3 linked regions of the Saccharomyces cerevisiae S288C genome follow. The protein of the gene in region 3 binds, or shares a complex with, the protein of the main gene of each other region. Each region holds a gene or a part of one and is shown on either strand. Other genes may lie near its edges.

What was found.
Region 1: MRPS8 (region 3) and MRPS5 share a complex: the UniProt entries of both Saccharomyces cerevisiae proteins name them as parts of the mitochondrial small ribosomal subunit.
Region 2: MRPS8 (region 3) and MRP51 share a complex: the UniProt entries of both Saccharomyces cerevisiae proteins name them as parts of the mitochondrial small ribosomal subunit.

The regions. Positions count from the first base shown.
Region 1 is NC_001134.8:719,527-722,813, forward strand, and holds MRPS5 (mitochondrial 37S ribosomal protein uS5m MRPS5), read left to right. Parts: upstream 1-1,863; coding exon 1,864-2,787; downstream 2,788-3,287. Other genes in the region: SPO23 (Spo23p), read left to right, coding at 1-1,078; DUT1 (bifunctional dITP/dUTP diphosphatase), read left to right, coding at 3,085-3,287. UniProt on the Saccharomyces cerevisiae protein: Component of the mitochondrial ribosome (mitoribosome), a dedicated translation machinery responsible for the synthesis of mitochondrial genome-encoded proteins, including at least some of the essential transmembrane subunits of the mitochondrial respiratory chain.
Region 2 is NC_001148.4:324,980-328,162, reverse strand, and holds MRP51 (mitochondrial 37S ribosomal protein bS1m MRP51), read right to left. Parts: upstream 1,536-3,183; coding exon 501-1,535; downstream 1-500. Other genes in the region: isopentenyl-diphosphate delta-isomerase IDI1, read left to right, coding at 1-299; putative DEAD-box ATP-dependent RNA helicase DBP1, read left to right, coding at 1,899-3,183. UniProt on the Saccharomyces cerevisiae protein: Component of the mitochondrial ribosome (mitoribosome), a dedicated translation machinery responsible for the synthesis of mitochondrial genome-encoded proteins, including at least some of the essential transmembrane subunits of the mitochondrial respiratory chain.
Region 3 is NC_001145.3:570,589-573,215, forward strand, and holds MRPS8 (mitochondrial 37S ribosomal protein uS8m MRPS8), read left to right. Parts: upstream 1-1,659; coding exon 1,660-2,127; downstream 2,128-2,627. Other genes in the region: TPP1 (polynucleotide 3'-phosphatase), read right to left, coding at 1-428; AIM36 (Aim36p), read right to left, coding at 689-1,456; YMR158C-A (uncharacterized protein), read right to left, coding at 2,606-2,627. UniProt on the Saccharomyces cerevisiae protein: Component of the mitochondrial ribosome (mitoribosome), a dedicated translation machinery responsible for the synthesis of mitochondrial genome-encoded proteins, including at least some of the essential transmembrane subunits of the mitochondrial respiratory chain.

The sequences.
Region 1 (3,287 bases), on a different chromosome or scaffold from region 3:
AATCACTTCCCATTCAATTTCTTTAAAATGTTTCACAAAGGAATATGCATGCTTTGTAAATTCAGAAACTAGCAAAAACTCCTATAGTGACAAAATTATCAAAGAACTTAATCACACAGAGTTTTTTGAGTCTTCCACCTACCCCAAACAGCAGTTGAGAGTCATACACCACTCATTAAATGATAAGAAAATTCTATTGACAAAGGGCACGTACGATTACCCATTCACTTTTACCCTTCAAGCAAATACTTTCCCAGCAAGTTTCTCTTCCTTCTTTGGCAAGACCCATTTTCGAATAGAAAGCTTAACAACAATAATGAGAATACCAAGTAAACCTAAAAACTTACTCAAATTTTTGAAGAATGAAAGTTTTACAGATAAGATCATTTTAACAGAAGAAATTAAAGTTAAAAGAGTCCTGCCTTCAACGAGTATGCTTAAGTTTGAAACATTTCAATTAAGGTCATACAATACTGCAAGTGAGATCGTAGTATCGGTCATTGGAAACTCCAAGTTGATTGAAATTGGTATGCCTTTCCAAATGATATTATCAATTACCAAAACAGATTCTTCCATTGAATTACAGGAAGCTTCTTTGGCAGTTGCACAGAGAATGGCAATACCAAGTATTGATTTGAAGACCAAGAAAATACTACGAGAGCCATACATTAAAAAGTCCGAGTATTTACTAAGAACTGTAGAAAGCCAAAGTTTCGATTCCGACAAGACCATTTTCGGATTTTGCTTTGATGACGTTGTCATCCCAACCTATGCGGATGGTCTACCGAGCTGGTTTAAAACATTCTACTGTGAACCAAGTTCATTTTATCCCAATCATGCTGCCCTCAAAGTAACTCATTTGCTTTTGTTCAGAATAACCTATAGCAGGAATGAATTGGTGGAAGGGCTTGAAATGAAAAAAAATTATCGTATTACGGTGAATTTTCCAATTTTAGTTGGCGATAGTGATATTTCGACCAGCTCTTTGTTACCCAAATATGAAAAATTTGAAAATATTAGTGATCTACAAGATGAACCCCCACTATATTCTATGGTAGCAGGTGAGAATAGCTTATGAATGTTCGGTACCTCAGAACAACGCCTCTATTTTATCCTTTTTTTTTTTATTTGCATGATATACATATACTATTTTTTATTAGTTTCTTATTCTACTATGTATTTACGTAACAATAAATTTACAGGTCTCTCTTTTTGTAAGTATCTTGCACGCTGATATCTATAATACTACTTCACAAGTTGATCAGCTTCCGAGATAGACATTTTATGTATCAAGTCGCCATGTCCGTTCTCTACTGGCCGGTGTATATTATGATATTTCGACCGGTTCTAATACATAAGCACCGCCCACTCTGAGGAGAAGACATTTTTACAAGAATTACTAGCCATATTTTCCCTTGTCAAATTAGAGAAGGAAAAATTACTTGAAACATCCCGTGTTTGGGCACTAAAAGTATATCAATAGGAGCTGAAGAACACTACACTAGACTCTCTTGGCGTGAAGGCCTTATTATGTGAACTTTCGTAGGTTTGACTTTTACTACCAGTATGAAAAAGGTTAGAGTTTATTCAATCAAATGGAAAAGTTTTACAACTGAGCTAGTGATCTCCAAATGAGGTAGCAAGTAACAGTCGTATGTATCCCATACATTTATGTATCCCATATATTTCATTACATGGTGATGCTTTCTTTTATTCGCGGAGTAAAGTTCCTTAAAGTGAAAAAAAAAAAAAGACGAATTGACAAGACAATAATACAAGCACCACTAAAAGACCTATCGTTATTGTTGTCAAAGTAGACGGTAAACCATACAAGAAACAGATTTCATAGATCAATAGGTAAAGATGTTCAAGAGGCAATTATCGACTAGTGTTCGTTATCTACAGCATTATGATGAGTCGCTATTATCAAGGTACTATCCTGAAAGTCTTTTAAAATCCATAAAACTTGCTCAACAAACGATACCAGAAGATACTAAATTCAGAGTATCTCGTAACGTGGAATTCGCACCACCATATTTGGATGATTTTACCAAAATACATCCTTTTTGGGATTACAAACCAGGCATGCCCCATCTCCACGCTCAAGAGGAGAATAATAACTTCAGCATCTTTAGATGGGACCAGGTACAACAACCATTACCAGGCGAAGGTAACATTCTGCCTCCAGGAGTCAGCTTACCAAACGATGGTGGTCGGAAATCGAAAAGCGCCGATGTAGCTGCAGGGCTACACAAGCAAACCGGTGTAGATCCGGATTATATCACTAGAAAGTTGACTATGAAGCCGCTGGTGATGAAAAGAGTGTCAAATCAGACTGGGAAGGGTAAAATTGCGTCTTTCTATGCCTTGGTTGTCGTTGGTGACAAAAACGGTATGGTAGGTTTGGGAGAAGGTAAATCTCGTGAAGAAATGTCCAAAGCGATCTTTAAAGCTCATTGGGATGCGGTAAGGAACCTGAAGGAAATACCTAGGTATGAAAACAGAACTATTTATGGTGATATAGATTTTAGGTATCATGGTGTGAAACTACATTTAAGAAGTGCAAAACCAGGGTTTGGATTACGTGTAAACCATGTAATCTTTGAGATTTGTGAATGTGCAGGTATCAAAGATCTGAGTGGGAAAGTATATAAATCCAGAAACGATATGAATATAGCTAAAGGTACCATCGAGGCTTTCACGAAAGCTCAAAAGACATTGGATGAGGTTGCCCTGGGTAGAGGCAAAAAGCTTGTTGATGTCAGGAAAGTTTACTATTCAAGCTGAAATACTATGTACATACACACGCACCATTATCTCTCGTTTTACATAAGTAAATACAGCAATAATAATACCTGTAAATATCTCAACATACTCAATCAAATGAGCTGATAAGCATATTCAATTTTTCTTCATAGCAATATTTTTTTCTGTCCAAGTTTTATTTTTTTTCCATAATTTCTGATTTACTACCATTGAAAATTATAAAAGGAAAAATATTACGCGCTACCATTTAATAAGTAGAAACAACTAAGTTCTCGAATGAGATGTTTGCACTGATACAGCGAGCCAAAAAATAACCAAATGACTGCTACTAGCGACAAAGTACTAAAGATTCAATTGCGCTCAGCAAGCGCTACTGTACCTACCAAAGGTTCTGCCACTGCCGCGGGATACGACATTTATGCATCTCAGGATATTACCATTCCGGCTATGGGTCAAGGTATGGTTTCCACCGACATATCGTTCACCGTACCTGTTGGTACCTACGGTCGTATTGCGCCAAG
Region 2 (3,183 bases), on a different chromosome or scaffold from region 3:
TAAACAGAATCCATTACATGGCACCAAGCAATGAACCATGGGGTGAACATGAAATTGATTACATCCTATTTTATAAGATCAACGCTAAAGAAAACTTGACTGTCAACCCAAACGTCAATGAAGTTAGAGACTTCAAATGGGTTTCACCAAATGATTTGAAAACTATGTTTGCTGACCCAAGTTACAAGTTTACGCCTTGGTTTAAGATTATTTGCGAGAATTACTTATTCAACTGGTGGGAGCAATTAGATGACCTTTCTGAAGTGGAAAATGACAGGCAAATTCATAGAATGCTATAACAACGCGTCAATAATATAGGCTACATAAAAATCATAATAACTTTGTTATCATAGCAAAATGTGATATAAAACGTTTCATTTCACCTGAAAAATAGTAAAAATAGGCGACAAAAATCCTTAGTAATATGTAAACTTTATTTTCTTTATTTATTTACAGAACTCTGAATATACATTGATTGTTCACATTTTTTTTTTCTCTTCTCAATTTCCCTTGATTATATTCAAAAGGTTATTGGCCTCTTGAATGTTTCCCACTGATGGTCGACGTGCCCTTCTAGAGGTCAATGGTTTATAAATTGGTCTCTTATTGAAAAATTCTCTGGTCTTGTCATTTTGTGGTTCGAGTAATCTAGCGTGCATCGAAACAGAACCATTTTTCTCCATAGATGCCTCCAAGATCTCGAACAAGAACGTTTTCATTCTGATGAAATCTCCCATGGAGTTAAAGGAACTAGGTGGTGATTGGAAAAATACCACATCGGCCACAAACCCACCAATAGCTGCCAGCCATTTATTGTCGTTGTTCTCCTTAACAACGTTCAAGATTCTACCGGGTACTACAGTCCTTTGAATGACACCATTTGGTGAGTTTTTTAGCTTTCCTGGCAAGCTGTATGATAATCCACCTGTACCAATGATTTCAGTGTTAAATTTTTTATTCGTTTTTGTTTCCAACTTTTTGTTTAGAAACTTCACTACATAGTCTTCCAGCTTATTAGAATTCAATTTCAATTCATCCGGATGATTTTCCACCAGCCACTCTTTAAATTCATCTTGAAACGATCTAATTAGTGCTGTTATCTTCTTCAAACGCTTCTTCATAGCAGCAGGCGAAATATCTGTATCTCCTTTCATTTCTTTGAATAAGGACAATTTAGCATGAGACTCATCCTCAGGACGAGATATGTACTTGAAAAATGGATTTTGTCTGCCTATATTAGACACAATTGGTACTCCCATTTCTTGAAATCTTAGCCTATTCCATTGCGTACCGCCTCTAGGTTCGAATGTGGTAATTCTTTCCAACGTATCCAAATCGTTGTACACCAAATATCGAGATTTAATTTTCGAAGGAATAGCGGATTTCAACCCCCATTCTTGTCTGTATAGTGTCGATGGCTTAGTTTCGATGATTTGATGTGTTGGATGAAATTTTTTGCCAGTGTATGTCAATGGTTTATGATTGTTAGCTACTTGAGCTATTCTCGACCGTCCAAGCAACTCTGCCAATGTCATTTCGTTCAATTTTTTCTAAAATAAAGAAAAAGAAAAAGAAAAATGATCGAAACAGTCTCACCAAGGGTTGTAGCAAATGTCTGTATGATTTTTTTTCTTCATCACGGCACCTATTCGTATTGCTCCTTTAACTCTACATCTAAGTTCTTCATTCTTTGATTTCTCAAAACAAATATCACTGTCAACGTAAATATTACCCCGCGAGTTCTTTAACAATTTTAAGGGAAGGTTACTTAAGGTCATCTCTGAAGTAATGCCTTTATTTTATAACAAGGATTATTCATGATTATAAAAGATATCGGTAGTGTCAGTTAAAGGATATTTTAAGAAAAACCCCTTTGAGTGAAAGTATTACAAGAAAAAATGGCAGACTTGCCACAGAAGGTATCTAATTTAAGCATCAACAACAAAGAGAATGGTGGTGGTGGCGGCAAATCATCTTATGTCCCACCGCACTTGAGAAGTAGAGGAAAACCATCATTCGAAAGAAGTACCCCAAAACAGGAAGATAAGGTTACGGGTGGTGATTTTTTCAGACGTGCTGGAAGGCAAACTGGGAACAATGGCGGGTTTTTTGGCTTTTCTAAGGAAAGAAATGGAGGGACGAGTGCGAACTATAACCGCGGAGGCAGCTCAAATTACAAATCATCTGGAAATAGATGGGTAAATGGCAAGCATATACCGGGGCCTAAGAACGCGAAATTAGAAGCCGAACTGTTTGGTGTACACGACGATCCCGATTACCATTCATCTGGTATAAAGTTTGATAATTACGATAATATTCCCGTAGATGCATCTGGAAAAGATGTTCCTGAACCTATACTAGATTTTAGTTCTCCCCCTCTGGATGAGCTGTTAATGGAAAATATCAAACTTGCTAGTTTCACCAAACCTACTCCAGTACAAAAATATTCTATTCCAATAGTTACCAAAGGTAGGGATTTGATGGCATGCGCACAAACGGGCTCAGGTAAGACAGGTGGGTTTTTGTTTCCGCTCTTCACGGAGCTATTCAGGTCTGGGCCCTCTCCAGTACCCGAGAAAGCACAGAGCTTTTATTCTAGAAAGGGATATCCATCTGCTTTAGTACTTGCACCAACTAGAGAATTGGCTACCCAAATTTTTGAAGAAGCAAGAAAATTTACGTATAGATCTTGGGTTAGGCCATGCGTTGTTTATGGTGGCGCGCCAATCGGTAACCAGATGAGGGAGGTTGACCGCGGCTGTGACTTATTGGTGGCTACACCAGGGCGGCTGAATGACTTATTAGAACGCGGAAAAGTTTCTTTGGCTAATATCAAATACCTGGTATTGGATGAGGCTGATAGAATGCTAGATATGGGATTCGAACCCCAAATTCGCCATATAGTTGAAGAATGTGATATGCCCTCTGTGGAAAATAGACAGACCTTGATGTTTTCCGCCACATTCCCAGTAGATATCCAGCATTTGGCACGCGATTTCTTAGATAATTATATTTTTTTATCAGTAGGAAGAGTCGGTTCCACCTCAGAAAATATCACGCAAAGAATATTATATGTCGATGACATGGACAAAAAGTCTGCGTTGTTAGATTTACTGTCTGCAGAGCATAAGGGATTGACATTGATTTTTGTTGAAACGAAAAGAATGGCGGATCAACTCACAG
Region 3 (2,627 bases):
GCAAAAGTTTTCGGCCTTTTAGGTGCTGCATATAGCCATAACCTGTGTGATAACGTTTCTCCTCTCTCATCGTTTTTGATTGCCTTTAAAAATAGCAAAATTTTATTAGTGTACTTGGTGCAACTTTTAGAAGTTCTTGGGACGGTGATGACACCACCTTGGTTAGAAAATATGACTATGACGGCCGTGGGATCATTATCAATGATATTACACAGGTAATCCAGGGTGGATTTCTTGGAGTTAAAATTAATAAACTGCCAATCACTTGCGCTTCTACTAAAACTTATATTGGGGGACTTTGGTTTGATAATTGTATGGTCCAGATCAAAGGCATAAACGTTTAGACCATGCTCGTCGTGATCAATGGATTGTGGAAACTTGGGCGTGAACTTAATCAGAAATGGCAGGATTGTTAATTTGTGGGACATGGGCTTTCCTTCGGTTCAGTTTTCTATGTTATCCATCTGATTTTGGGATGATTTTACAGATTAAAATCGATTTAAAGCCATACGCAAAAGAGGGGAAACGAAAGAAACGCACAGAATTCATTCACATAGATGAAGGGAACAGAAAATGAGAATGTTATATGACAGATAAGCAGCATATTCAGGACATATATCCAGATATATATACATATAAGCTATTAACAAGGAGAAGAAACCAAAAAAAAAAAAAAAAGAAAACATCCTCAGATGATATCAGCTTTACCTACAGTTTCGTAATATTTACAGACGTCAGAGCCACTCAATTTCCTCGGAACAAAGATTTTAGACACTATAGAAACCTCATTTTCAAATCTTGTTGCATCAGCAATCGAATGAGGAAAGTTCACAACTACTAGCTTGTCACCGGTCTTGAAGTTCTCTTTGAAATATCTACCCAAAAGCATGACCAACATACCGGTCGGCAAATTGTAAGCGTACGTGTCACACCCGTATTTTTTGTAGTATTCATTTAATAAAGCCTCATATCTATCATCCCTCAAGGTTCTGTAGTAATCGATGACCTTGACTGGATCGACAAACTGCAGCTCATTTATATCATCGCCTTGTGATTTCTGCAGTACCTTTCTAGTTTCTTCAATGCTGGGTGATAAGGAAAACTTTATATCGACCTCACCTTGTGGGAAGATAGCCACACGTCTTTTCAACCCTTTAACCACATTTTCGAATTCTTCTTCTGATAATGTTGTCTTCGGTTTGTTCTTATCTAAAGACTGTACTGTCTTGACAAATATCACTGTACCGATAATAGCAACAAGGAAAATTTTCTTAAATCCTGGAGCATCTATTTTATCTGATTTGTTAGACCTTTTAGTTGAGCTATCAGTTGATGAGTATCGTGCTCTCAAGAGCAATGGTGAAAATAAGGGTAATTGCTTTTGAGGCAACCCACCGCACACCTTGAAACAATGTCGGCAGCTTGCTAGAACGCTTTTTCTCAGTGGTCGCAACATGTAGGTAGTCTATTTATCTGGGCTCGTTATGTATTAATCTTCCTATGGGGATTCATTCATTTTAGCTTTACCGGCAGTCCTTACAAACCGCTTTTTGAAATTAAATCGACAAACTGAGGAAGAAGAACGGAAAAACAGAAGAAAGCCAAAGGCAAAGAAGCGACCACATACACCTTTTTTTCGATCTAAACTAATCGCCCAAAATGTCGTTGGTCAAACTTGCGAATACGTGTGCTCATTTACAGAACTGCTCGAAAGTTAGAGTTGCCTTAACATCGATCCCATATACGAAATTGCAGCTACAGTTTGCGTATAACCTTTACCAACAAGGGTTCTTATCGTCTTTACAGAAGGGATCGACTATGGGACCAGACAAAGATTTTGTTGAAGTAACACCAGACAATATCTCTACTAGAAGGCTTTGGGTTGGATTGAAGTATAGAGATAACAAACCTGTCCTCAGCAGCTGCAAATTAATTTCCAAACCAAATTCAAGAATACACCTGCCAATGGAAGACATGAAGAAACTATGCTCTGGCGTAACTATTAGAAACATCAAACCACTACAACCAGGAGAACTGATTCTAGTTCGAGCTCATAACAACATTATGGACATTAATGAAGCCATATCCAAAAAGTTGGATGGAGAAGTACTATGCAGAGTAAAATGAATAGAACAATCACATATGACCGTATTTATACGTGTAATTAAAAAATATACGGACCATGTAAATAATAATATTATAAAATGCAGACAATGATGATGAGTATAGTACTACAGTAACGTCCTTCATTCATTACCTTTACTAGCAGTGATAAAAAGTTTTGAAAAAAAATGTGCTCCAGGGGAGGTTCGAACTCTCGACCTTCAGATTATGAGACTGACGCTCTTCCTACTGAGCTACTGAAGCTGTCTGTTATGGAGGATTCTAGCATTAAATGCTTTAATACTCAATAAAAGCAACAATGGAGAATAATTTATCAGCAACTAAATTTATAGACGAAGATCCTACGCCAAATCTTAGCTCCTTTATATTTAATATTGAAAAACATATGAATTTTAGGTTGAATCCTCAAAATGGAATTGATATTTCTACATAATAGTACTACGATTATTCTTCACTCTGTTTTATATGTGTCATTATGTTATTACATTATCAATCCTTGCATT